Cricetulus griseus: one gene and its partners. The protein of the gene in region 1 interacts with the protein of each later gene in a biochemical or structural test. Links are inferred from orthologs where the notes say so. Each region holds a gene or a part of one and is shown in the gene's direction. Other genes may lie near its edges. The genes, in order: Gsk3b, Lrp6, Nin, Klf5, Ywhaz, Muc1 and Srebf1.

Region 1 (3,500 bases):
GCTGTTTGTTTGTTTGTCTGGGAGCTGAACTTTAAATGTCACATCCTAGGCAGCTGCTTTATCAAGGAGCTATATCCCAAGCCCCCAAAATGCACTTCTGAAGATAGAAAAGTCCATTATTAGTTATACTGAAAGCTAAGTGTCTTGATTTTCTGATAGCCTGAAAATATTATGGTTGTTTAATAACCATTAATGTGGGCCCTAGAAGGTTAAATTGTGAAACTGCTAATGAAGGGAAAACAAGTTAAGTTTAGCATCATCATTGACTAAAAGTAAATTGAGGGGAAGGAAGCCTAGACTTTAAGGTTGAAAGGTCATTTTCCCCTGGCTGTGTCTTTGCCTTCCTGTGCCCTTCCTTACCTCAGATGTTTTCTGTTGTGATTTTGTTGCCTGTATTTATCTCCTGTGTCTGTGACGCTGCTGTCAGTGCATCTCCCAGTGTGGCTTGCTGATTTGAAATGAGTTATCTGAGAGACATTTGAGAGATGCTAACTGTAATTCACTTTAATGTTTTAAGTGTATATACTGTAAAATACTTCAGGAGCAAAGCTGCAATAATATGTAAACAGCATAGCAGGGATGGAATGGATAGGTTCTGAGTCACTTTCCCCCTCAAGTTGAATGCCTTTTTGCAGTTTGTTTAGAAACAGGTGGTTAGATAGCAAACTGACTAAAATATCAAATCATGCATAGGTTGGTTGTGTAAGCCTTGAGCTGGCCATCCTGAGTCAGAAGTCAAATATAAAACAGTCGGCAGTTATTACCCTTTTTAAAAAAGTGTGTTGGTGAGGAGTATTGATATATTCATTTATTCTGATCCACTGTCATTCTTTTGCTGGGGAAGGCTCCTTTTAAATTTCTTGCCCCTTATCTTTATATATTTAATTATTTACTATTTTTTGGGACAGGGTCTTCCTGTGTAGCCCTGGCTGACCTTATAAGTCTCACTGCAAACTGGGTTGGCCTCCATCTCACAGAGACTCAACTATCTCTGTCTCCTGAGGGTTGGGATTAAAGGTGTTGCATCGCCATGCCTTGCAACCATTTTTACATTTCAGAAGTAGAATTTAGGAAACATGGAACCAGAAGAAACTGAACATGTGTATCCTTTTGAACTTTTAATCTCTTTGTTCCTTAGGTAACACTTGACAAATGCTTACTTTAAAAATCACTGTTTCTTATATCAATTTGATGAAATTGTGTATTTCTTTCATTGAAAACAGTTGCAAGTGTGTTGCATTATTGCAGTCTTGTGAGGTTGAGACAAATATGGTGTGTGAATATGAGTATTTGTTTCTTTAAGGTATGGATTTAAAGATTGCTTTTTTTTATTTTTATTTTTTTCATTAGTGCAAAGCAGCTGGTCCGAGGAGAACCCAATGTTTCCTATATCTGTTCTCGGTACTATAGGGCACCAGAGTTGATCTTTGGAGCCACTGATTATACCTCTAGCATAGGTAAGTACTGACTCTGAATACAGTTTATAACTGTTAATTGCACCCTGATTCTTACAGTTTCTCTGACATGAAAAGGGCATGGCTGCAATATATTTTTGCAGAAATGTATACAACTAAATTTTTTTAACCTTTTAGAATTTTATGTATATCTTTCCATTATGCTTTTTTAGCATTAGAATTTTAAAAGTATTTGCATTATAGTTAGCTAATGTATTTGTTTGATCTTAAAGTTTGAAGTAAAGTGTAAATACTGTAACTCTTCAGGTAAGTGTTTTAAAAATATTAATGAGGCAGGGATCAATGACAGGAAGAAATATGCTATATGCAGCTTGCATGTAGCCGTCAGAGGACAATTTTTGGGGTCTGTTCCCTCCTTTTACCCTTATATAGGTTCTCTGGATCAAACTCAGGTCATCAGGCTTGCACTGCAAGAATTTTTATCTACTGAGCTATCTGTGGGTCCTGTATTAGTTTTCTAGTTCTCCTGAAATATTTACTTCTGAGCCTGATACCTAGTTAGAATATTGGTTAATTAATAATGTTACTTTTAAAATGTTAATACTGTAATTGATAGGGCAATAATATTTTTGAATTCCTACCATAATACATCACTTTAGGTTAACTTAATTCATTAGTTGTTCAGCTAAACTTGCTGGTTTAAAAATTTCAGTGGAGGGAGATGTCTAATGATAGAAGGATTCAAGACAGTTGAAATCCTCATTGCCTTTGTGTTGTTCTAGTACAGTTGCTGTGTCAGCACAAAGACCATGACTCGCTGAATCTGAATGGCAAGACAAAACCAGCATTGATAGGCTAGATGAAAAAGGACAAAATTATTTTATTTCATACATTAATTGTGTGAGGGTGGGGAGCTGAGGCTGACATCAGGTGTCCTCTATCTGAGCTGTGAAATGAAGATCATTTCTAATTCTGCCTGCTTTTCATGGTTGCTGGAGGAGTAAAATAAAATGTTAATGAGCCAGTATAAGAATGGAAGGTAACAGACTTTCTTAGTATATTTATTAGCTCAGTGGTCCCCAAGAGCAAATTTTAACTCTTTGTCCTTGGGAATGTTATCGGATATCTAATGATTAGTGTCTTAGTCAAATGTTTGATATTGGTTATCTATGCTCTCTCTCTCTCTCTCTCTCTCTCTCTCTGTGTGTGTGTGTGTGTGTGCGTGCGTGCGTGCGTGCGTGCGTGCGTGCGTATGTATGTATGTATGTATGTATGTATAAGATACTGGACTGAATTATACTAGGCTCACCTAAAATAGTTACAACCAAATTCCTGACACATTATAGAATGTTTGTGTGAGCCAGGGCTTTTGGGACCCTAACAAACATGGATTTGATCCATTTTCAGATCTAAGATTCTTGCTTCTTAAATTTTTAAAAATTTATGTGTATAAGTGTTTTGCCTGCATGTATACCACATATATAAACACATATGCCTGCATTTATGTATGCATACCACTTGAATACTCAGTGCCTGTGGAGGTCAAAAGAGGATGTTGAATCTCTGAGAACTGGAGTTATGGATGGCTGTGAGCCATCATGTGGATGTTGGGAATCTAACTAGGTTCTCTGCAAGAGTAGCAAGTGCTCTTAATGGATGAGCCATCTCTCCAGCCCTGACTAGGTTCTCTGCAAGAGTAGCAAGTGCTCTTAATGGATGAGCCATCTCTCCAGCCCTGACCTTGCTTCCTAAGGCTGTGTAAGATTGATACAGTCCCGCACACAGGAAGAGGTGGACAGATCTCTTGTGAATTCTAACCAACCTAGGGCTACATAATGAGTCTGTCTGTCTCTCTCTCTCTTTCTCTGCAATTCTTTCCCCCACACACACATACACAAAATAGATTTGTAAAAGGTGAATACTTATAAAAATACTTATTTGTTAAAAAATAAAAAGGGTTCAAACATATGAATAGATTTTTTTTTAATTAACATTACTTGGAATGAAACCATCACTGATTCTGACTAAATTATTGCCATATTTGGATATAACCAATACTATGTAATCAAAATAAAATACAAATTT
Region 2 (3,500 bases), on another chromosome or scaffold:
AGGCTTTGCTTTCTTTGGAGCTCATCTGTCAGTTTCATCTACCCTGGTTCCCAGTCTTTGTCCTCAGTCCTTTTTTTAAGAAGTCTTCCGTGAATACCTCTCACTCTGAAGGGCTCTGTTTCCTTGGACCAGGCCAAGTGGGAGCAGCTTGACTTATTAGAAGCCAGTTCTCAATGGAACCATTCCTTTCAACATTCATTAATTTTTTTCATTAACTCTTTACAGCTATTACTAGGGAAAGAGGACGTAAGCTGTTCTAGTTGGGCTGCTTGTAACTTCAATGTTGATTCATGATTTTATATATTTTTATAGATGCTACTCATCTTCATTTTTATCTCCTTCAGGAATGTCTCGAGGGAAATCAATGATCAGTTCCCTCAGTATCATGGGGGGAAGCAGTGGGCCACCCTACGATCGAGCACATGTCACAGGAGCATCATCAAGCAGTTCTTCAAGCACCAAAGGCACTTACTTCCCTGCAGTAAGCAGCCTGTCTTTGCTATGTTTTTCTTTCACTGTTAAAATACGTAGCATGTTCGATCAGTTCATTTAAACGTGGGTGCTCAGTGATGGTAATGTAAAAATAGTTGTTAATATAAGATTGAAGTACATAGGAGTCAGTGGGGAATATACCACCACTGCACTGTACTTGTAAAGCTTTAAGTTTACTCTGTAATAATCAATGTAGCTGAAAGCATAATAATAATTTCACAATTCAAATAAAAAAATAAACCACTAAGGTACCAAACAAACTTAGGACCTTTATTTTGTAAGCTGCTAAAAGAAGAAGCATGTGGCTGGGGAGATGGTTCACTCTGTAAAATGCTTGTCTCGTGGGTGAGAGGACCTGAGTTCCATCCCAGCACCAAGATAAAAAGCTGGGCCTGGCTCATAATCCCAACACTGCAGAAGTACAGAGAGGAGGATCTCTGGAGTGCATTGGCCCACCAGTTTAGACTGGTTCCTGAGTTCCAGGCTAATGAGAGCCTTCTTAAAGGAGGTGGACAGTGTTCCTGAGGCTGCCATTATGGTTTCCTTTGGCCTGCAGCTTCATGTGTGCATACATAATCTTGTACTTAAACATATAAAAATAAAATGTAAGAGGAAGCACATTAGAATTCCTCTTAATAATTTTCTACAAACATAGAAAAGTTGTGTTTAAAAAATTAGAGACTGTCTGTGCCAAACAAGCCAGTGATGTAGGTGACAGTCTTTTTGTTTTGTTTTTCTTACCACTTGTTCAGGATAAAGAACTTGTGGTTAGGAAAGTGGAGCCAGTCTTAAAGTGCTATTTAGGTAGTTGTTTTGAAAAGAATCCTACGCTAAAAGTGCAATGGAAAAGAATAGACAGGTGAGGAAATAGAAGGTAAAGGTGATCTGCGTCTATGGGAAGGTATTGTTAGTTTAATGTTTTAATTGTTTTCCTTTTAGATTTTGAATCCACCACCGTCGCCTGCCACAGAGCGTTCTCATTATACCATGGAATTTGGTTATTCTTCCAACAGTCCTTCCACACACAGGTCCTACAGGTAAGACACTGTCGCGTGGGATCGAGATCCACTAGACTCAGTGCAGGTGAAGTGAAGTCTATTCAGGGAGAATGCACTTACACAAGACGCTGGTGACCAGCGCAAGTTCCAGTTCCAAGGATCCTCCCAGGCTGCCCTCTGTGACCCAACTGGAAGCAAGAGAGAGCACTGGGGTCCAGGACCCCAGACCTAGTCCTACCCTCCATCAAGCCCACACCTGTGACCACGCCTGTTTGGGTGTGGTCAGTGCTACAGGCGTGGGTGGGGTGGATATCTCACTGACATACTTTTTTTCCATATTCCATTTGTGAATATCCTAAGCCTCAAATGAACAGCCCATAATCACCAAACAAAGAGTAGGATTCTTGTCTTGGCAAGACTTGATTGACATTGTCCACCCCCAAATCTTTTCTTTTTCATTTTATATTTTAAAAGAGAGTTACATAGCTGACTTTTGGTTTTTCAAGACAGGGTTTCTCTGTGTAGCTTTGGAGCCTATCCTGGCACTCACTCTGGAGACCAGGCTGACCTCGAACTCACAGAGATCCACCTGCCTCTGCCTCCCCAGTGCTGGGATTAAAGGCGTGTGCCACTACTGCCCGGCCACACAGCTGACTTTTAGAGTAATGCAGTTGAGGACTGGGCGAGACAGGTCAGAGTTGTAAGAGCTTGCAGGCAACAGGAGAGTGGGTCATAGACTCTGAAAAACTCAGAAGGAGGTTGACCCACATTACATGTGTCACTGTGACCTGGAATGAAAGATTTTCCATGTAGTTAGTTGCATGGAATAAACAAGTCGTCATACGGGGCATGATGCCTCCGTGCTCATTGTGAGTGTGTTGGGTAGGTCTGTTATTGTGTGTGTACCTTACTCTTCCATCCTGTTCAGACACCAGCAGAAAGTCTGTATTCTGTCTGAAACCTGCATGCTGTGACTGTGGTCCCCAGTGCCTGTTACCATTTGGATAACATTTCCTTTCCGTCACTCTGGCCTGGCGTCACTTTGTAGTGATGGAAATAAAATGGAAACTACCTACCAAAGTCAGTTAAGACAGAGATAGGGTTGTCTCCAACATGATTGTTTCCATGAGTCATTGTAAGACTTCTTTGCATGCCACTGTTTTATTCTAAAATGACAAAAAAAAAAAAAAAAAAAAAAAAAAAAAGCCGAGGCCTGAAAATTGAAAAACAAGACCAGAACCAAAAATTTCATTTAAAAAATGTACTTAGTTCACCTTGAAGAAAACATCAGGCAAAGTATACAGCTGCTTTAAATCGTTTCCCATGTCTAAAGGAGGCTACAAATCTATGTCAAACTTTATCAATTGTCATGATTTTACCTAAGCTGAGATTTCACAGAATTTTGTTGATTGGCTTCCTTTTTTCCTTCTTTTTCTTTATGAGATTAGAAGTTTTTAGCCTTTTAAATTTTAACCTAGAATATTTCCCCAGGCTTTGTCATCTATTTGGACAGAAAGATGAAACAAAAAGCAAAAGTGCTATGGTAATGTCTTGTCTTTTACTGTCTTTTACCAACACTGATGGTAAAAGTTCCAGGAACCTGTTCAGTGGGGCCTGTGGGGCAAAGCTGAGTGATAGCAGGCGTGGGTGCTGTGTCACTAGGAAATTTATGAATTCCCCATCAGTTATTCTCATCTTGCCCCCTGTCTTGCAGTCACTGTACTTTCAGAGACAGTTTATTTGTGGATCTTTAGGATGAGTATAAAATAAGCTTGGTCATACATAGAAAAAAACTTGTAGAAATCATACATAGACAAGCCAGTATTTTAGGTCAGCTCTTACCTTCATGAGTAACTATAGATTATTTAAAGGGTACATAAACAAGTATAAACATGTATTAAACTCTTACACTGTGTTAGAAAGTTCACTGGCCCTCTGGGCATTTTAACTGTACTTAGCACAGTATATCTGACCATGCAGAAATCAGAACTACTATCAGACAAATTATGA
Region 3 (4,271 bases), on another chromosome or scaffold:
GGGTTGATAAATGGTGTTGACTAACAGAATAGCTGTGTTTACAGTTTGTAAGTTTCTGTGTGCTAAAAGGGGGAAGGGAGCATAAAATGCCTCTTATTTCCCAGATGCTCTCTCTGTGTTGGAGAAAGTTTTGGATTTTTTTTTTTTTAGATAACTGGCTTTGTTATATGTATTTCCTAAATTTTGAGATAACTGTGGATTCATACAAGGAATCACAGAAAGAAAGCCTCAAAATGCTTCACTCAGTTTTTCTCAGAACTGTAGCACAATACAAGCAGAAAAAAAGAATTAGGCTTTAGTTAGCTGGGGCCCCCACTAAAATCTCACCAGTTTCACAGTTCTGGGTTGTGAGTATTAGGTTCTAGGCAGTTTTGCAGCATATGTGATGTTCTTCTGAATCCTAGGTCTGTGAAGGGCTTTCTGTGTGAAGCCCTGGGTTTCATGACTTCCAGTTGCCTGCTTTGGAAACGCTATGGTGTCTAGCCCCTTAAGGACTTCCAGTCTTCTGGCTTTTAAAATGCTGTGGTGTCTGCTTCCTCGGGGTGCTTGTCATGAGGAACAGGTCACATCTGTTTCCAGAAGCCTGAACTTGCCAGTTTCCTTTCTGTCACCTAGAATTTGTCTAATGTTCTTTCGGAAATAACTTGTGGGTATAATAATGCAGGCAGATCTTTCTTCTCGAGGGCCATTCTTGGATCCCAGGGAGGCATTGCCTCCTGCCTATAGCTCGCTCCACCTCTAGCCTGGGTTTGTGGTCCTGTTCGACTAATTGTGTTAGGAAGTATAGCGATGGGAGGAGAAACCCCCCGAGGTAAGGTAGCACTTTTGAGGGTGCATGTGGAACAGGTGTGGGAGAAAGCTGCAGCCGCGGCGGGAACCCGCACAGTAACCTCAGTGGACTAAGGACCACCAACTCCAAGGACTTTCTGTTCTGCTACTATGACAAAGGATTGACTGCACCCTCAGAAGGCTATACAAGGGCCAGAGCAACTGTAAGGATGAAGGGCAGCTACAGATTATCTAGAAGTGGTCGGAGGTCCAGAGGGTTCAGTGCTCTCCAGGGCCCTTTGCTCTTTGGTACCCTTTCCCAGGACCTTCAAACGACTCTCTAGGGCTGGGAAATCCAGGGTCCCCTGCAGGTTACAGAGGTACCCCAACTTCCACTTTAGGTCTATCAGGCTGGGGGCTTCACTCTCCAGAGACGTTGTGGGCCTTGTGCCAAATCACCAGGTGCTAGCGGATGCCTTTGAGAGGACAAGGAGGCTGCAGGCAAGGGACCGCGTGGTGGCAGTGCCAGCTGGTGCGCCGAGGCGACCTTGGGGTGCCGAACCCGCACGCAGAGCCAGGGCGTTCCCAAGTTCAAATCTCTTAGGCGGGGGCTCGCACCCGCGGGCTCACAGCCGCCACCCGCTCCTCCCTCGGCTGCGGCGAGAGGAGGAGCCGCGCCCTGGCCGGCGTCCCCTTGACTCCTCCCTACGAGGCCCGGCTCTTCCTCCCCCGCGGCCCGATCTCCGGGTGGCGGCGACTGAGCCGGGAGCGAGCGCGCTGGGCGCGGCAGTCCGGTATCGCCCGGCGGAGCCCGAGAGCCCCGAGGTCATGGTCTGTGCTGTGGAGCGGGGCGCCTGAGCCCCGGGACGCGGTGAGCGACAAGCTGGGGATCCCCGGGGGTCGAGCGACCTGGGAGAGCGCGAGGCCTTGGCTGACCACGCGCCGTCTGCTTAGGGACCCCGAGCGTCCCACGCCGTGCAGACCCGCAGATCCCGGTCCAGCACGCGGTGGCGGCTCGGGAGGGGCGCTGTCGCCCGCGGGTGGCGGCGGGGGAGGGGGAGGGGCCGCGGCGACGGCGAGGGCGGGGGGATGAGCCGGCGTGCTTTTGTGAGCGCCGGCCCCTTACATATGGAAATGACGCCCGTGCGGGTCCCCAGTCGCGTCCTCTGGAAGGACGCGTGCCCGGATCGGCGGCGCGGGCTGCTCGGTGTCGCGGCGCTCGCGGGGCCCTAACAAAGCGCCCTTTCCTTGCAGAGCTCCGGAGGCGGCTGGCGCGGGCGCTCCCCAGAGGCCGACGGAAGGTAGGCGAGGCCGGCGGGGCCGGACCACCGATCTGGCGTGTGAGCTCGGCGACCCGCGGGTGGGCAGGTGGAGCGGGGACGCGGTGCGGGTTGCTAGGGACCTGGGCTGGCCCGCCCTCCCGCCACACCTCCGCCTCCCAGACCTGAGGCTTCCCGAGCTGAAAGCTGTTACTGTGTCTCGCTCCAGCGGCGGGCAGGACTCGGAGCGAGCAGAAAGGGTTCTTGTTCTGTGGGTCGAGGCCACCCAGGCAGCCCAGAGATCCAGAAGCCGGCGCGGGGAGCCCCTGGGTGTCGGCCTCCGCCTCCCGCGAGCGCAGAGCCGTTTGGAGTCCTAAAAGTGGAGATTTTAGGAGGTGCGTGGGATCCGTGCAGGTAGAGAGAGACTTTTGGGTGCAGCTAGCAGCGAAAGGAAAGGCGACAATGCATTTTGACAGTTGCTCTGAAAACTCGGTCGCCAGAGCAGAGGAGTGTGAAATGAAGTGAGGAGTGGGTGTAGGTGGGGAAGGAGTAGTCGAGACTGGAGTCGGCACTGCAGTTCCATCCCCACTTCCTCCGAAAAAGACAACTTTTGGAAACCAGCCTCCCCTAAAAGCTCTCTGTGAAATTGAGAGACTGGAAGGGTGATGTTCGCAGCCTCAGCCGGGACAGACCCGCGAAGGTGCAATTGAAGGGGAGCTGGAATAGTGCCCTGTCACAGATCGGGTTTCCATACAACTATTATGAGACGGTCTCATCGTCCCTCACCTGGGACAGACCCTCTCCGGGCGTTGAGAAGTCTTGAGAAGGCTTTCCATGCAGCTCGACCAGAACCGATTGTGTGGTTGTCTATGGGGCTGCCACGGGAGCTTTTAGGGTGCTCATCTCAATCTCTTCATAGCACTCGAAGGCTCCTGAGACCACGAACTGTTCTCAGTTGAGTTCTCTCAGATACATCATGTTGGCATGCATTTATCTATTTGCATGCTTCTCGAGGCCTAATAAGCCACAAGGAAATACTTTGATGGCATCAGTGTAGCTTATTCTAGGGTCTTCTCCAGTGGTAGCATGGGCTTTTACAAGCTAGCCTGGAATATTAGTATTTCTTGCTGTGGAACTGAAAGTAGCTATGAAATACCCAGACTGTTTGCCTGTAACATGCCAGGCGGGCTGAGAGAGGAGTTTGTGTGGTTTCTTCATCTGTGGTTGGTGTTCATAGGGAGGAGATGAGAACCTCTGGGGACAGGGGTATTGGCAACCTGTTTATTTTCACGGCTCTCTGGTGCCTTAGAGGGAAGCACTCTGAGCTGCAGTGTTGAGAAAGCAAAAGGATTGTCATAAGCAAAGGCATTGCCAACACGGATACTGGGGCAAAGAAGAAGAGCCTCGCTGCATGTGGTCCTCGTGTTGAAATGTCACGGTTCAGTCATTTTAATAGGTGCCTGCTCAGAATGTCACAAGTTCTGTTTTCTTATCCCTTTTTCATTTTAGATATGTGACGGTCCTTCCTATCAAAGGATGTTCGCTCATAGGGCCGGAATAGGGAGCCACTGAATTCTGAGCACCCAGTCTTTTTAATAGGCAGTTCTTATCATGAGTCAAATGTTGTTCAAATAAATTGTTTTAAATGTCACTGTAAATGACTTTCTAAACTACCATTTCACCAATCTTGATGCTTCCATTTTATGTTGATAATGAAAATACATTTTATGAGTCTTACATTGATAGAGGCTTGGCAGGTATAACCAGAACATTTTAGAGGGAGTCAGACAGCTAGAGCCATTCAAAAGGCTTACTTTTATAGATGGCGACTCATTTGTAAGCCAATAAATAATGCAGTTTGAATTCTGGCTATTGATCTTGCATCTGTTGGCCAGAGGCTTGTGGGGTGGTTCAGTGAACCTTGCCAAATGACATATTTATCTGATTACATTTACAAAGAAGATACTTTAAAACATTATGGAATTATGCAAATGCTTGCTTCTTTAGGGCCATTTGTGTAAGCAGTAATAGCATGTATAGATGTGATAACAGAACTTCTCCACTGTGCCCTAGGGAGCTTATAGCTTCACCTATCCTAAATGAATTTATGTAAATATGGTTCAAGAAATGAAAGTTGTTTCAGGCTTTCTTTTTTTGTTTTTTGTTTTTTTTTTTTAAGAAAAAAAAGTAAGAAACACAAAACTTTTTTTCTTCTTTGATTTTTTTTTTTTGTTGTTCCTGTTG
Region 4 (3,500 bases), on another chromosome or scaffold:
AGTTCAACAGTATATTCAGCTCCCATCAGAACACAGCTCCAGAGGTGAACAATATCTTCATCAAACAAGAACTTCCTACGCCAGATCTTCATCTCTCTGTCCCTTCCCAGCAGGGCCACCTGTACCAGCTATTGAATACACCGGATCTAGACATGCCTAGTTCTACAAACCAGACAGCAATAATGGACACCCTTAACATATCCATGTCTGCCGCCATGGCGGGCCTTAACACACACACCTCTGCTGTTCCGCAGACTGCAATGAAACAGTTCCAGGGCATGCCCCCTTGCACATACACCATGCCAAGTCAGTTTCTTCCACAGCAGGCCACTTACTTTCCCCCATCGCCACCGAGCTCAGAGCCTGGAAGTCCCGATAGACAAGCTGAGATGCTCCAGAATTTAACTCCACCTCCATCGTATGCTGCTACAATTGCTTCTAAACTGGCAATTAGCAATCCGAATTTACCTGCCACTCTGCCAGTTAGTTCACCAAGCATCCAACCTGTCAGATACAATAGAAGGAGTAACCCCGATCTGGAGAAACGGCGCATCCACTACTGCGATTACCCTGGTATGTATGTGGTCTGTGTGCTTGAAGAGTCAGTAGTGTTTTACGTTGCGTGTGCGCACTGTTTTCAACCTTAGGCATGAAAATATATAGCAAGGGTGTATTTGACAGTAAGAAGTAAATCACCTAGTTTCTCTTAGTAGTCTGTTTCTGCATTTTGTCCAGGTGTGTAATTAGATACTAGTCCAGTGCTTGTTTTATGTATTGAAAAAATTGGCCAGTCAGACATGATGGCTCATGCCTTTAATCCCAGCAGTGAGGCTGAGGCAGGAAGATTACACTTTAAATCTAGCCTGGGCTACGTAGCGTGATCCTGCCTCTTAAATAACAATTTCCAAACACATTTTTAAAGGCTAGGCCATTCTAGAGACTTAGTTAACTTAAGATTTCTCAATCTTTAGTAGTAAATAAAACTTGAATTTCACATTTGGGAGGCAGAGGAGGTCGGATCTATGTAAGTTCGAGGACAGGCTCCGAACCTCCACAGAGAAACCTTGTCTTGAATAAAGCACAGCAAAAAGTTGTAAAGTCTCCTGGAGATTAAATAGGGTTGGAGACAGTCATGTGGTGATGAAGTTCAGGGGTAGGTACCTCTTGGAAACTAGAAGGCTGTTTACAGGACAGATTTAAACCAAAAAACGGTTCCTTTAGTGTGCGCTCATTCTTGAATGAGATACGTGACCCAAAATATAATTTGACAGTAATAAATATATGTTCAAGTTGCTGGCGTAAGCGAGTTTATGTTTAATATAGGGCATAATTTATTGACTATGGTGCATGATGTGGCGTGCTAAAAGAAAAAAACAAAGTAGGGGTATAGAAAATTATAGTCATCTTGGGTAATGACTTAGCTCTGTCATCTCTACATCCAGTAAGTTAAAAAATATATGTATTAGCTATCAAGTCACTGAAGCACATGTTAGAGTAAAAAAAGTACCTACTGGAATAGAATTACAAATTTTCCATTTGTTGCTTGACTGGATTACCCATATTCTTTGCTCTCAACGTGATACATAGGTGGGATCACCTGCACCTTCTAATAAGGTCGAGGGGAGAGGGCACCTTGAAACTGCTTAGCCAAATCTTCCAATATTGCATCTAGCACAAGAGATTTCGTCTTTAAAGCCAGATTTAAAACACCGGATCATCAAATGTAAAGATTTCAAAAGGCCCTGGAAATGACAAGCTGTTCTTCCTCTGCTCCTTTCTTTTAGGTTGCACAAAAGTTTATACAAAGTCGTCTCATTTAAAAGCTCACCTGAGGACTCATACAGGTAGGTAATTTTCTTGTTAATTCTGTGAGTTGTGTAAATAGTATAAGTGGCATTCATCCTTTTAAAAGCCAGCACATGTTTGATCTCTTCTTTCTTCTGTCAACTTTTATTTTTTAATGGCCTACCTTTTCAGCAAGGGCTTGCCTCGAAACTGGGTTCCCCCAAGAAAGCTTGTTTCCAGGAGAGAGTCCCCTCGGTGAGACCTTGCCCTGTCACCTCACAGAGAATTAATGACCCCCCAAACGTAAACAGCAGTGTTTACTAATGGATTTTAAAACTTAAATGACAATGCTTATTCCTGTCTTGAAAGAAGGGGAAAAAAATTCTTGGTAAATCATTTTGCTTTAATAAAGCCCTTTTAACCTAAAAACTTCCACTTACCATGCTAAGCGCTAGTGCTTAACACTGGTGGCTTCAAATATTTGTGTTTAGCATAGTTGCTGTGTCTGAAAAGTAGACCTAAAATCTGCAGGGTGGTCAGAATGAAGGGCAATAGTTTAGACATCACTCCACACCCAACCTCAGCCCTTGATAGGTTTGAGTCCCCATCTTTAGTCCGTTTCCCTTGCATCCTCACTTGAAGCCTACGTTTAAGTTTTATCTCTAATTTTATAATGATTGATTTGTTTTGTTAGATTCACAGCAATCCTTTGTAGGATCTATTAATTTTGAAACCTACCAAAACCACATTTCACATGAAATTTGGTAGCATGCTTTATTAAAGGGCTTCACATACCCATATTTTCAAGTGTCTGGATAATGTTACTAGTGTAATTTCCTTTCAAAATTTTTAAAAAAAGAAGCCCTGAAGGAAAAACAGATAAAAGTGACTGCATTTTTTCCTCAAATACACCTTCCTTACCTAAAGTTCAAAGAATAAGTTTGCTAATAAAAGCAGTGACCTAGCAAAATGTATTATTCCATCATTGCTATGGAAACCAAAGTATTCAGCAGTTCCTTTGAATGGGTTGTTGGATTAGTGTGAGGACTTGAATCTCCCCAGGCTAGATGTTACTATGGAAATTGAGTTTTGATAAATGAAGTAGTTATCTCTAACTGCTGCATTAAAAAGTAAAAGCCTTTGAACAAAGGTCGTCGACGAACCAGAGCCCTGAAAGAGAGTGGTTGCAGACATTTTGTATGTGTGTTAGGAAGTAGTGCTTGATATTCAAACGCTAAACACTTAGTAAAATCCAAATGGTACCGGCAACAATGCGGCAGATTCCAGGGCTTTCCCAGAAAGGGCTATCTCTTGCATTCTGTGATAGAATGGATTGTTTGGGCCTGAGGCTTTTTTTTTTTTTTTTGCAGGCAATCACAAACAGAATAGTCCAGCCTATAATAAAGTCCAATCTTAAATTTCCAAAATACAGTCAATACGTACAGAAGTACTAAAAATAAAAAAAATTAATAAATAAAAAAATACTGAAATAGCCATTTTCCGTACTAGTGTTTGGGGAACACTGAACTTGGGTTTTGGAACATTTAAGCTATTGCTTTTTTTCCCTCCCCCCCCTCCTCTCTCCCTTCTGTATCCTTTCCCCTCATCAGAAGTCCTTGAAACCAGAGATAGGAAGGAGGGAATGCATTTTCCAGGTTAAAGTCCCATAATAAAAGAAGTGTGCAATTGCATATAACGATGTAATCAACTGCTTA
Region 5 (3,942 bases), on another chromosome or scaffold:
CAGACCATGTATCCGACAGACAGACACTGAGTTGGGGGAAGAACAGCTTGTCGTGGAATCTTCTGGAGAGCTATGGGCTGAATACTTTTTCCCCCCTTTTCTTTTTTCCAGCCAGCAGGAGCTGGGTAAAGGCGTTTGCTTCAACTCAGGACGCACGTTTAAAGGACGCAAGGGCACACGCTTCACGCTGAGAATGCTTCTCCCTCCGCTTCCGTCTGCTGGGTGGAGACCTTGCGGGTGCAGGCACCTGCAATTTCCGCCCTCTTCCTACCCCCTCTTCCGGGCCCAGGCGCTCCCGCCCCTGCTCGGGCGAGCGGCCCCCCTCCCACTGTCAGATGGGGGGCCCCGAGAGCGAGCAGCCAGTATCCCCAAGGTGGCTCCCAGGACCTAAAAGGCTCTTTGAGAGCGTTAAGTGGAGACAACGAGCCTCCCCGTCAAAGCCCGGCTGTGTGTGTGTGTGGGGGGGGGGGGGCAACAGTGCAGCGCCCGGAGATCGGCTCGCTGTGTGAGCCTGTGTCCCCCCAGCTCGCACAAGCCCTTCCCCTCTCCTCCCGGAGACCCCCCATTGTCTCCCTGGCTGTCACGGTCTGTGCGGGGCGACAGGAGGGACAGCGGGCGGCTCGCCCGAGCCTTAAAAGGTCTAAGGCCGCTTTACTGCAGCGGTGGGCGAGCGGGCGAGCTAGCAAGCGGCCACGCCCGCTGCCGCCCCGCAACCGGGGCTCTGATCACAATGCCCCGGCCGCAGAGCCCGCCGTCATTACCGGGGCGGCCGGGAGGGGGAGGGGCGGGTGGGGGGGGGGGAAGACGCGAAAGGTCCCGGATGTGCCCGCCAGTAGAGGTGTAGGGGGGAGGGAGCGGCTTCCTTCCGCGGGCCGCAGGGGCGGCGCGGGAGGGAGGAGGGAAGGAGGAAGGAGGGCGGCTCGCGGGGGCGGCGGGGGCGAGCCGAGCGCGCGGGAGGAGGAGGAGGAGGAGGCAGGGTCGGGGACGCGCTCTCCCTGAGCTCGCCTCGGGCGGGCAAGCGAGCGGGTGGGCGGGGCGGGCGCGCGCCGGGGGAGCGGCGGTTGCGCCGGGCACCAATCAACGGTTGCCATAGCAGCGTTTGACGTCATTGTGCGTGTGGTGCCCCTGCTGCCGGGGCTAGTGATTGGAGGAAACCCCGTGTCTGCGGAGCCGCTGTAGCCTGTGAGCAGCCAGATCAGGGACAGAGTCTCAGCCTCGCCGCCGCCGCCGCCCAGGGACACTGCCGACCGGGTCCGTGTGCCGCCACCCACTCCGGACACAGGTGAGCAGCCTCCCGGGCTGGCCCCTCCGCCGCTCGCCCGCCCCGCCGCGGCGGGCGTCCCCAAGGATCCTGGACCCGGGCGGCGGCTCGTCCCGCCGAGCCCCGGGCGAGCGCCCACGGCCGCCCCCGGGCCGCTTGCTGCTGGCCCTGCCGGGGTGCTGGTCGCCCCGTCCGCCCGTGTCCCGTGTCCCCGGGGGTGGGGGTGGCGGAGGAGGCGCCCACGCGCGAGACCCTCCCGGGTTTGGGGGGGGTAGGGCTGAAGCTCGGGCGAGCGGGCGAGCGCCATCCGCCCCCGCCGGCACCCGCTTCCGCCGCGGCTGGGACCGGGGCCGTGGCGCAGGTGAGGCGGCCCCCACCCCGCCGTGGCGCCCCCGCCGCCCCTCCCCCGCCGCGCGGGCAGCCAGGTAGCGCGCGCGCGAGAGAGAGCGAGTCTCCGGGGTGGGGCCGGCTCGCCCTCCCGCTTGCCCTCCCGCCGGGGACCCGGGGCTGAGCTTCCTGGGTCCCTCTCGGTGGCTCACTCGCTCGCACGCTCGCACACTCGGTGGGTGGGTGGGTGGTTGGGGGAGGGGCTCGGCCTGGGCGCCCCGGGGACGCAGGGGGGTCTCCGGCCGGGTGGGAGGTGAGCATCCTTCGGGGAGAGCGGGGGCTGCGCCGGTCTGGGTGGGGCCCGGCCCCTCCCATCCCCCTCCTCCTCCTCCGCAGCTGTCGGGGGCGGGAGGGGGGACCCCGGGAGGGAGAGAGCGGGGTGTGTCCGGTGCGGGTCGGCCGCCGTCGGTTCCGCTCGTGCGGGCGCCGCTGGCTGGCATCGGGGGGCCCCCTCCGGGTAGGGCGAGCCGCTCGCCGCCGCCTCCTCCCCCCCACCTCCACCACCCCACCCCACCCGACCCGACCGCTCCTCCCTCTCGGCTCGGCGGTGCTCGGGTTGGGTTGGGCTCCTTGACACAGTTCCGCCATGACAAAGAGAGAGAGAGGGCGAGCGAGCGAGCCGGGGACCGGCGGAGGCGCCAGCCTGGGCGGAGCCAAGAAGGGGAGGTGGCTGCGGGCGGCGCGGACGCGAGCGAGGACTGGCGCTGGCTTTAAAAAGTCTGGGGCGCGGTTTCGGCTCGCCCCCGCTCGCCCGCCCGCCCGCCCCGGGCAGGCGAGGGTTAAGTGGGTGCGGCGAGGGCTCCCGCAGTGTAGATGCTGGTTCTTCGTGTGCTTCCCGCGGGGAACCGGGCGGCTGAGGTCGGCGGGGGTGGGGCCGCCGGGGCCGCGCTGACATCACTTCCCAGGGCCGTTTCTGGTGTGAGGTTTCCAGACCGCAAAGGGTTAACTCGGCCTAGCCAGGCCCCGGCGCTTGTTTCAGTTGAGGATGCTTCTCATTGATTTAACGCCCCCTCCCTCCCCACACCACACCACCCCTCCCCACCCCCCAAAAAAGCGATTTCTGGAAAGGTTAAAGGAAAGGGTGCGATGGTGGCCTTGGGTGGTGGCGGTGCATTGGGCAGTGACTGTCATGGAAATTCATTTCCTGGGATCCCTGTGGTTGAGAACCGTGCTCTTGACCCCGTTCAAGGAAAGAAAAAAAAAAAAAGTTGATCAGAAATAAATTGGGATCTAGGGAACTTGAACTGCAAAGGAGATTGGCGGAGAAGACGTTAGGGCCGACTTAATAAATGGTGACTTGGAGAAAAGCCATGCAGGGGGAGTCTGCACCTAAACTGCAGTGTGACATCGCAGGGGGCGCCTGCGCTTGGGTTGGCCCTGAGTGCTCGCTCCCTGCTGCGCAAAGTGTGCATGTAACTCCATGTAGATGGGTCTGTCTGGTCTCGGGGCGAGTGATCCCTAGTGGTTTTATATTCAGGGTATCCTAAGCATCAGTCAGTCAGTTTCCTCAGATAGTTTTCATCCAGGAAGTGTAGCAGATCGGGCTGGAGAAAGTGCTAGGTAAAAGGTAATCCACTCGGGGTCAGAGTGCACACACTGAAGGTTAGCTGGCCTGACTCACGGTTCTGCGAGTGGAGTGCTCTTCATGGACCTTCTAGGTCCGGATCTGGAGTGTTCTCCCCAACGCACTCACGCACACACACACTCACACACACTCACACTCACACTCACACTCACACTTACCCTCTCACTGTAGGGAAAGGTGGTGAAGTGTAGGTCACTCTGCATTGGGATTAAGTTGAGCTTTTTAAGAAAACAAGTGTGTTGGAATACACAGCAAGGGACAGCAGGCTGAGCGATGACAGGTCTGTGTCACAGCTTGAAGGTGGCTTTTGATGATAGAGTAGCACATATATGCTCTGATCTTACCTGAAATTGGGGGTCTCCTAAACAGGTGGGGGGGCGTCTGCCATTTGCTAAGCCACTGTTAATATGCTCGGTATGTACGTTTTCTGGTTGATGGGAGGGGCTGTATTTTAACTTGCCGTGGTTTAAGATACTAGTATACCTTGTTACAGGTACAAGGAGCTATTCTAATAGGAATTTTCTGAATATCCCTTTTCTTCCCTTTGCAGAATATCCAGTTATGGATAAAAATGAGCTGGTGCAGAAGGCCAAACTGGCCGAGCAGGCTGAGCGCTACGATGACATGGCAGCCTGCATGAAATCTGTAACCGAGCAAGGAGCTGAGTTATCTAATGAGGAGAGGAATCTCCTCTCTGTTGCTTACAAAA
Region 6 (4,193 bases), on another chromosome or scaffold:
TCTTCAGACACAGTGCCTGAGGACTTTGAGCCATTCCGGAGGCAACTGCTCCAGGGAAGGGTGTGAGGTGCCGCCACCAGATTCAGAACCCTGACTGGAGACCTTTGACCTTGGACTCTGTTCTGGAGACCTTGGGGTCTAATCTACAGCTCCTCAGCCTAACTGATGGTTCTCTGGCACCCATCAGGGAGCGCAGCTCCAGAGGGGTGGTGACCCCATTGTGCAGGGGTTGGGGGACCTTCAAGGGGTATATTACTCAGGTACGAACCCCAGGAAAGACATCATCAGCACATTGCCATAAAGTTTCAGCTATTTTCTAAGTCAGTGCAATCACTTATTTTAGGCCTTTTCTAGGACAATAAGGAGCCCGAGGGGTTAGAAAGGCTGGTAGCGCAGGTTAGAGAGCCAGGGAAAGTTTGACTGAGTTGGGGTGTGGGTGGGAAAAGTACCAAATGAAGGATGAGGTTGGAAGATGGGCTAAAGTCCTTCCAGCCCCACTTACTCACCGTGGCGGCGGCGACCCTTCTAAGCTCCGCAGTGATCGAAAGCCCAGGGCTGGGGCTCCCCCGCTCTGGGTGAGGGGGCGCCGGGGGGGCCGAGGGGGCCGGAGGCCGGGACGAGTGCAATATTGGCGGGGGAAAGAACAACACTGCACCGCGTCCCGTCCCTCCCGCCCGCCCGGGGCCCCGGAATCCCGCTCCCTACCACCTGGGCCTTTGGAACCCAGGGACTGGGGGCGCTCTGGAGAGTTGGGGTCACTTTAGAGTTACACCAGAGCCTGGGTGCCCGAAGGGTGAAAGGGGGGGCGAAAGGGTGAAGAGAGAAGGGGAACCCCCCCCCCCATGCCCTGGAAGGCCACTTTGCAACGTCGAAGCAGTGCGCGCGCTTGCTCTTTAAATACTCAGACTGAGAGGCGCGGAGCTATTGTCATGGTGACTGGTATCCCAGCAACCAAATTGACTGGCTGTTGCCTGGCAATCCCAGGAGTTGGGGTTTGGGGCCCGCCTACCTAAATTCTTGTGGGCGCGCTGACGTAGGGCGTCCTCACTCCGCCCAGGGCCGGCCTCACAAAATCGCTCAGAGGCGCGATACACGGCGGGAGCGTGGGTCCCACGCCCCCATTTACGCACCTCCGAAAAGTTTCTAAAGTATCAGCTTCTGTTTTGTACTCGTTGGGACTAAGAATTGTTGGCCTACTACAGTTGTAACTGCAAACCTACGCCTGCAGGATCTGGCCTGGTACTCTGAGTCCACATGCTGCTGTGAGCCCAAAGCCCTCCCCGTCCCCAACTGTCCCTGCCCTTCAGAATACCTCTCGGTTCTCCCTAAATGCACGCGCACACACACACACACACACACACACACACACACACACACACACACACACACACACACACACGGGTTTGCCCTGCACCGCGTGGCGTGCCTGTCTGCTCCAAATATCGTTCCTCTCCCTAACACAGCTCTGAGCTCCCAAATTTCATGGTCGCCCCTTCTATTCTCTGCCTCCTAAATACCTAGCTGCCTGAACATAACCTGTCCCACTCCCCCTCCCACAATCCGAAGTCCTTATCGCTAAACTTGTTGCCCCCACCACATACCTTAGGTGCCCCCCTCCCCGCACACTTAGCCTCTCCCCCGCCCCCCAGACATCTGAGTAACCCAAGCACTGATCCTTGCTCCTCCACCGCACTGTGCATTCCTTCCTACCTATTCTAGGCGTTGACTCTTTTCGTCAAGGCCCAACCAACTTCCCTAAGATCTCGGTCTCAACTTGGGGTGTGCTGTCAAAACTCCCCACAGGGTCTCAACTCCTCGGCCACTCGGCCCGTGCGGGTTGGCCGCGCGATGCTCCCGGTGACCACTAGAGGGCAGGCGTTCCCGGCCAGAAGGACCGGCCAGCCTGCCACTCAAGGTGGAGAGTTGGGTAGGAACGACCTTAGGCTTCGGTAGAGCCCCAGTTTCGTCCTTTTTAAGTGGAAATTTCCCCCCACCGCCTTTCTCAGGAGCAAGCCAAACAGGGACCCAGGCTACTGGAAAGCCTGGCAGGGGCGGAGACTGTGGTTTTCAGAGTACAGGGAGCGGTTAGAAGGGTGGAGCTATTCCGGGAAGTGATGGGGGGAGGGAGCCTGAAACTAGCGACTTGTCCATTATTATCCAGCCCCCTTGTGTCCTCTCAACTTATGGAAAGCCGTTTTTAAGGATCCGCAGAGAGAATAGGAAACGGGATTGGGGAACCTAGGGATGGGTTTCCCTGGGCTAGTTGTCCAGGGCCTTTCTGTGCTCCGTTTCCCCATCTTGACCATTGCTCTGGGGCTAAAACCAGAGCCAGGGGGCCCCAGGTCTCCTCCACAAACACACCTGGGGAAGTCAAGGAGAGCTTGGTAAAAGGGGGGAAGCCAACTGGAGAATAAACAAGTAGTCATAAGATTGAGTGATTGGAGCCCAAGTACCCTACACAGGAATGGTTGGGGAGGAGGAGGAAAAGATAGGGGAGGGGGCGGAGTTTTGTCACCTGTCACCTGCTCTGGCTGTGCCTAGGGCGGGAGGGGTACTGGTATAAAGCAGCGGGCACCAGAGCTGCTCCACCGCACACACGCCACAGCTCCTGCCTTGAGTCTGTTTCTGCCCTCTTCCCGCCTCTTCACCACCACCATGACCCCAGGCATCCGGGCTCCTTTCTTCCTGACGCTCCTTCTAGTGCTTGTAACAGGTGAGAGGCATGAGGTTGGGGTGGAGGTGCGTTGTTCAGGTGGGACTCCTCACCGTTCTTTTGCTTGCTGTTAGATGGCATAAAGGATAGACAAAGATGACCCAGTTATGTGCCAGAATGAAAGAGGCTAAGGACACAGGCTGAGAAGATGTGACCCCCAAGAGAGTAGGCACCGTAGGAGGCAAATGCTCTGATGTTTGTGGAGGTGGGTTGTGTCAGGAGAGACAATGGTAGTGGGAGAATGGGGCCATGTGCCGCGGTTAGGTTAGGGCCAGCTTGCAGTATGAATCCTTGTCTCAAAAATAAGTAGTGGAGGAATGAATTAGCCAGAAGCAGGGTTGAGTCTTTTAGGGAGGGAGAGATTAGCCAGGGAGGTTGTCAGCAAGGAAGAAGGCAAACAGGGACTGCCTGACGCCAACCTTATACCCCTTCTGGGGTTACTTTGGTTTTGGAGTTTATATTTTTCTCCTTCCTCTGATTTTATTCACCAACCCAGTAGTTTTTACAATTTCTAAATCATGCAGGTTATCCAAAGCAACCTAGTATCCATCTCTGTTGAGAGGTGTGTGAGCATAAAAATGGTCTACTCCCCACCTTCAACTCTGGTTCAGGCTTTCTTGCCCTTCCAGATCAAAACAGTGTCGTCTTATCTCTGGACACCAACAGTTCCCCAACCTTGAATACCACTCCAGTCCACAGTGGTTCTTCAGCCCCAGCCACCAGCTCTGTAGTGGACTCGGCCACCACTCCAGTCCACAGTGGTTCTTCAGCCCCAGCCACCAGCTCTGCAGTGGACTCAGCCACCACTCCAGTCCACAGTGGTTCCTCTGCCCCAGCCACCAGCCCTGCAGTGGACTCGGCCACCACTCCAGTCCACAGTGGTTCCTCTGCCCCAACCACCAGCTCTGCAGTGGACTCAACCACCACTCCAGTCCACAATAGTTCTTCAGCCCCAGCCACCAGCCCTGCAGTGGACTCAACCACCACTCCAGTCCACAGTGGTTCCTCTGCCCCAGCCACCAGCTCTGCAGTGGACTCAACCACCACTCCAGTCCACAATAGTTCTTCAGCCCCAACCACCAGCCCTGCAGTAGACTCAACCACCGCTCCAGTCCACAATAGTTCTTCAGCCCCAGCCACCAGCCCTGCAGTGGACTCAACCACCACTCCAGTCCACAATAGTTCTTCAGCCCCAGCCACCAGCTCTGCAGTGGACTCGGCCACCACTCCAGTCCACAATGGCTCCTTGGTCCCAACTACCAGCTCTGCGCTGGAATCAGCTACCAGTTCAGCCCACAGTGGTGCCTCTTCTATGACTAATAGTTCTGAACCAGACTTGGAGACCACTCCAGTTTACAGTGGCACCTCTATCTCTACTACCAAGGCTACTTTAGCCTCTGCCATCACCCCAGTCTACAATGGCTCCTTGGTGCCAACTACCAGCTCTGTGTTGGGCTCAGCCACCACTCCGATCAGTAAT
Region 7 (4,173 bases), on another chromosome or scaffold:
CAGGTCCTTGTTGGCCAGGCTGAGACCCCACCCCGCCCAGGATCACCACACCACGCTTGTGTTCTAAGCACCAAAGACCCCAGCAAGGGGTTCTGAGATCTTTGGTGGGAGGTCTCGGGTGTTTGAGACAGAGACCACCAACTTCCTCTGAAGTTCTCCAAGCCTTTACCAGGAAAGCTTCCCCTTGGCTGCTGCCCTTGTAAGCCCACCCTGTGGAGCAGAGGTTTGTGTTGGGCTTTGCTCCGAAGGGAGCTTTCTAGTCGTGGGTACAGGTCTTTCTTTGACTTTACCTTCGGCTCCCCCAGTCTTGCAGCAACGGAATGTGTGTGTGTGTGGAGCTATGTATACATTTTACTCAGTTCTCAGAAGGTGTGATGTTGTGATGATTCCAAACCCCGAGCCCTTTCCCGCAGAGACTCTGGACAATTAGTGACCCTGGCTACACACAAGCAGGTGAGGCATTAACTCAACTGACCGCTGAAGACCCTCACCCTTCTGACTGCGAAGGACTGTTTGAGTTTTCAGGAAACATCAAATTCCTGGGTCTTCTGATGGTGGTGGGAGGGACAAGGCAGAGTGGCCCCAAAGCAAGGGCTCCATGTCGGGGAGAGGTGGTTTATAGTTCCAGCACTCCTGAGCACCTTACTCTGAGTAATTTTCTAAGCAGCCACACTGGGAGAGGGACAAAAATGTGTTCAGGTGGAAACCAGACACACACTCCATCCTTGCCCAAAGACAACTAATTCTGCTGGTTGGGAGGTGAGAGCAGTCGCCCAGTCTGTACCTGGAGTCTCAGCATGGCAGTTCCAGCTGGCCTGGGGTCCTGACCCTGGGGCGGGGGCGGGCTACCCGGTTAATTCTTACGTGTTGCTGCTGTCTCCTCACTTGCAAATAGTGTGGACCAGAAAGGTTTACTTCAGTCCACCCTAGAGGAACCTATCCCCTTCCACCGGCTTTACCTGTCCCTAAGTCACAGGGCCCAGGGTTCACTTTTCAGTACTCAGGCTGCTGGCCTGGCCTGGGTCTAGGTCATGATCTAGGCAGCTGAGCTCAGTTCCCCTGGGCTCCTTTTACAGAGTCGCTGCTTGACCTTGGGATCCACACTTTTTCTAGGTCTTCCAGGAGACCAGAATCTTCCTTTAGGAGCTGTTCAGGCCCACTGGCCCTCTCTGCCCCAACAGCGGGATTGATAATGGATTAAGACAGGCTACGGGAAACCGGGCTCCAGTCGGCTTTCTGAACCGTCTAGGTGAGCTGTCTGGAGCCTGCAGATGCCGGTTGGTGGGCAGGGCCTGGCGGGCAGCCCCGCCCCTCCGCTTGGGTGGCTCCGCCTGCGGAACCTAGTTTCCGAGGAACTTTTCGGTAAGGCGGGCCTCCTGCGAAGCCTGGCGGGCGCCGCCGCCATGGACGAGCTGCCTTTCGGTGAGGCGGCTGTGGAACAGGCGCTGGACGAGCTGGGCGAACTGGACGCCGCACTGCTGACCGACATCCAAGGTGCGTGGCCCGGGGCTCCTGCGCGGCCTGTGCGGGGTCGCATGTCCTGGGAGGTCACTTGGCCGGGAGCTTCTGCGCGTGCGTGCGTACTGCGCAGTTGTGCGCCTCGGATTGAGGGTTAGCTCTCCAGCTTGTGGTGGGCTTGGTTTCTGGACTCGCTGAGCATCCGCTGAATTCCAGGTTGGGCCCTGTGGACAGTTCACGGGCCGACCTGGGTTTTCTCGTTTCTTGGATGCACCAAAATCCCCAAGCAAGCCCACAAACGGATTTTTACATGCACCTGGGCATGCAAGTATCTGGCTACTTTGGATCGAGATCAGGGAGGTCTCTTAGGTGTGTTAGTGCTGGGGGGTGCCCCGGCATCAGCAAGCAAAGATACTTTCTAGCGGAGGACAAGGTAAGAGGCAAAGGCCACTGGGGCGCTACCTAAGTTTGAGGAGTTGGGAGTGGGGGGCGTGAGACAAGGAACACAGCTTCTGCTCTCCGAAATATTTTTCAAATTTTGCTATTCTGGGGCAGTAACCCAGGATCTAGAACATATTAACAGGCTTTCTGCCCTGAGCCACACCCTGGGCCACTTAGATCTTTTAAAACATCGCTTGAACTTGCCCAGCTTGATTCATCTCCATCTTCAACCACCACCACCAGCTGGGGTGGGTGTGGGGGAAGAAAACAAAAACAAACTGGCATTTGGTGGCGCTCGCCTTTAATCCCAGCACTCAGGAGGCAGAGGCAGGTGGATCTCTGTGAGTTCGAGGCTAGCCTGGTCTCCAGAGAAAGTGCCAGGATAGGCTCCAAAGCTACACAGAGAAACCCTGTCTCGAACCCCCCTCCAAAAAAAAAAAAAAAAAAAAACCAAACAAACCAAACAAACAAACAACAAAAAAAACCCCAAACTTTCCATACCATAAGATGTATACATGTTAGGCGGGCCATTCAATAACCTCTGGTGGCTTGTCAGCAGTCTCGAAACATTGAATCTCTCTTGCCTGTTTGAGGGCTTCACACTCTTCTCCACCCCAGACAACCACGAATGTGTGTTATCTATAAACTACAATGGTGCCCTGGGATTACTGTAGAGTGTTCTCTCCCTTACCCCCATCCCATGATCTGTTGATAGACACCTAGCGTGTGCTGTGCCTAGATCCTCATTGAGCTCCAGAGGCAAGCCTCTGGGAGAATCACTCAGAGACCCACGTGTGCTTGTCGCTGGGGCTAGAGAGGGGTGACTTGGGGGTAGAGGTTGGGTCACCTAAGAGGAATGAGGGTTGAAAAACATCTGGGCAGGCCTGAGTTCCAGATATGGCTAGGGCAGTGGGAGAAGGGACAGGAGAAGGAGAGTGACGTTGTTTAGAAAGCCCCTCTTCAGCACTGGGGTAGGCCATCATAACATGGGTGGCAAACCCTTCTTGAGCACTTGGTGTGTGGCAGGCACTATGATGAGGATCTCAGTGGGTCTTCTGACAATCCCAGTTGGAAAACATTTTCATCTCACAGATGAGAGACTGAAAAGCAGGCTAAATGACTTGTCCAAGGTCACACAGCCATAGCAAGGCAGAGCCAGAATTCAGACTCAGGCTGCTGGCTCAAGAGCCTGGATCCTTGGCTCCCAAGGCTGGATTAAGAAGTCAGCCATGCAGCTGTCTCCCTCAGCCCAGAGCAGCATTGGTCATAAGACTGGAAAGTGGCAGGGAGAGCCAGCCAATGCCTGGAGCCCAACAGCCCACTACCACCTGTTGTCCTACAAATGTCCAGTGATGTGGGACTTACAGCCTTCTTTCTTTCTGAGGGTGATGCTGAGCTCAGAGCATCAAGTCCTGCTGCTGGCTGTGACCTCAAAGCAGCTCCTCCTTGTTCCTGGTGTCAGGTCACTAGAGGCTGGGGAGAGGAGCCTGTATGGGGACTACTGGGAGGCTGGTGGCACTGTGCACTGAGGACAGAGGAGGCAAATGGACATAGTTCTGGTCTGAGACTGGCTACTTACTCTTGGAGCCCTGGGGAGCCCAAGGCCTGGGAGAGACAGCTCCTCAATAGCTGGTCTGTCTGTTGGCCCAAGATGTATGCCTAGGTCCAATGCCACTTACTGAGAAGCCCTCCTGAGTTCTGACCCCTTTCTTGTGCTGGCCTTACACTGGATCTGTCTATGTTCTAATATTGTATGACTCTCCTTAGGGAGAGGTGTCTATGTATCTGATAGGGCACTGTGACAGACTAAAGAAAGGATTCCGTCCAAGTCCAGCTTCATGCACCGGTGAGTTTATTGGTGTCTTAGTATTATATTGCATGACCACAGCAACTCTTACAAAGGAAGCATTTCATTGGTTTCAGAGGTTTAGTCCATTGTCATCATGGCAGGAATGCATAGTGGCATATACACAGACATAGTGCTGGAGAAGTAGCTGAAAGTTCTCTATCCAGATCCGAAGGCCAGAAAAGAGACACTGGGCCTGGCTTGAGCTTTTGAAACCCAAAAGCCCACCCCTAGCAACATACCTCTAAGAAGGCCACACCTACTTCAACAAGGTAATACCTCCTAATCCCTCTCAAGTAGTTCTATGCCTTGATGATCAGCTGTTCAAATCTGTGAGCCTGTGGGGGCCATTCCTATTCAAACCTCCACAGTTGGTGTGGGTGAGCAACCACAGGATCCTGCAGACTCCCAGACAGCTGTGTCACTGC

Evidence for each region.
Region 2: of the proteins of Gsk3b (region 1) and Lrp6, one has a biochemical effect on the other in vitro, tested with the Homo sapiens proteins (2 studies listed by BioGRID, with this or other methods). The link is inferred for Cricetulus griseus from reciprocal best matches to the Homo sapiens genes GSK3B and LRP6.
Region 3: of the proteins of Gsk3b (region 1) and Nin, one has a biochemical effect on the other in vitro, tested with the Homo sapiens proteins (2 studies listed by BioGRID and IntAct). The link is inferred for Cricetulus griseus from reciprocal best matches to the Homo sapiens genes GSK3B and NIN.
Region 4: of the proteins of Gsk3b (region 1) and Klf5, one has a biochemical effect on the other in vitro, tested with the Homo sapiens proteins (2 studies listed by BioGRID). The link is inferred for Cricetulus griseus from reciprocal best matches to the Homo sapiens genes GSK3B and KLF5.
Region 5: the proteins of Gsk3b (region 1) and Ywhaz form a complex in vitro, tested with the Homo sapiens proteins (2 studies listed by BioGRID). The link is inferred for Cricetulus griseus from reciprocal best matches to the Homo sapiens genes GSK3B and YWHAZ.
Region 6: the proteins of Gsk3b (region 1) and Muc1 form a complex in vitro, tested with the Homo sapiens proteins (2 studies listed by BioGRID). The link is inferred for Cricetulus griseus from reciprocal best matches to the Homo sapiens genes GSK3B and MUC1.
Region 7: the proteins of Gsk3b (region 1) and Srebf1 form a complex in vitro, tested with the Homo sapiens proteins (2 studies listed by BioGRID, with this or other methods). The link is inferred for Cricetulus griseus from reciprocal best matches to the Homo sapiens genes GSK3B and SREBF1.

The regions. Positions count from the first base shown.
Region 1 is NC_048597.1:51,920,621-51,924,120, reverse strand, and holds part of Gsk3b (glycogen synthase kinase-3 beta), read left to right. Parts: intron 1-1,350; coding exon 1,351-1,457; intron 1,458-3,500. UniProt on the Homo sapiens protein: Constitutively active protein kinase that acts as a negative regulator in the hormonal control of glucose homeostasis, Wnt signaling and regulation of transcription factors and microtubules, by phosphorylating and inactivating glycogen synthase (GYS1 or GYS2), EIF2B, CTNNB1/beta-catenin, APC, AXIN1, DPYSL2/CRMP2, JUN, NFATC1/NFATC, MAPT/TAU and MACF1.
Region 2 is NC_048601.1:14,501,183-14,504,682, forward strand, and holds part of Lrp6 (low-density lipoprotein receptor-related protein 6), read left to right. Parts: intron 1-344; coding exon 345-481; intron 482-1,431; coding exon 1,432-1,529; intron 1,530-3,500. UniProt on the Homo sapiens protein: Component of the Wnt-Fzd-LRP5-LRP6 complex that triggers beta-catenin signaling through inducing aggregation of receptor-ligand complexes into ribosome-sized signalosomes.
Region 3 is NC_048598.1:133,256,439-133,260,709, forward strand, and holds the start of Nin (ninein), read left to right. Parts: upstream 1-1,471; 5' UTR 1,472-1,639; intron 1,640-2,022; exon of another isoform or gene 2,023-2,108; intron 2,109-2,130; exon of another isoform or gene 2,131-2,422; intron 2,423-4,271. UniProt on the Homo sapiens protein: Centrosomal protein required in the positioning and anchorage of the microtubule minus-end in epithelial cells. May also act as a centrosome maturation factor.
Region 4 is NW_023276807.1:251,134,878-251,138,377, forward strand, and holds part of Klf5 (Krueppel-like factor 5), read left to right. Parts: coding exon 1-573; intron 574-1,784; coding exon 1,785-1,844; intron 1,845-3,500. UniProt on the Homo sapiens protein: Transcription factor that binds to GC box promoter elements. Activates the transcription of these genes.
Region 5 is NC_048603.1:14,723,766-14,727,707, forward strand, and holds the start of Ywhaz (14-3-3 protein zeta/delta), read left to right. Parts: upstream 1-1,142; 5' UTR 1,143-1,282; intron 1,283-3,783; 5' UTR 3,784-3,794; coding exon 3,795-3,942.
Region 6 is NW_023276806.1:65,326,002-65,330,194, reverse strand, and holds the start of Muc1 (mucin-1), read left to right. Parts: upstream 1-1,393; 5' UTR 1,394-2,655; coding exon 2,656-2,713; intron 2,714-3,324; coding exon 3,325-4,193. Other genes in the region: Thbs3 (thrombospondin-3), read left to right, coding at 8-66. UniProt on the Homo sapiens protein: The alpha subunit has cell adhesive properties. Can act both as an adhesion and an anti-adhesion protein. May provide a protective layer on epithelial cells against bacterial and enzyme attack.
Region 7 is NC_048600.1:74,353,841-74,358,013, reverse strand, and holds the start of Srebf1 (sterol regulatory element-binding protein 1), read left to right. Parts: upstream 1-1,373; 5' UTR 1,374-1,403; coding exon 1,404-1,494; intron 1,495-4,173.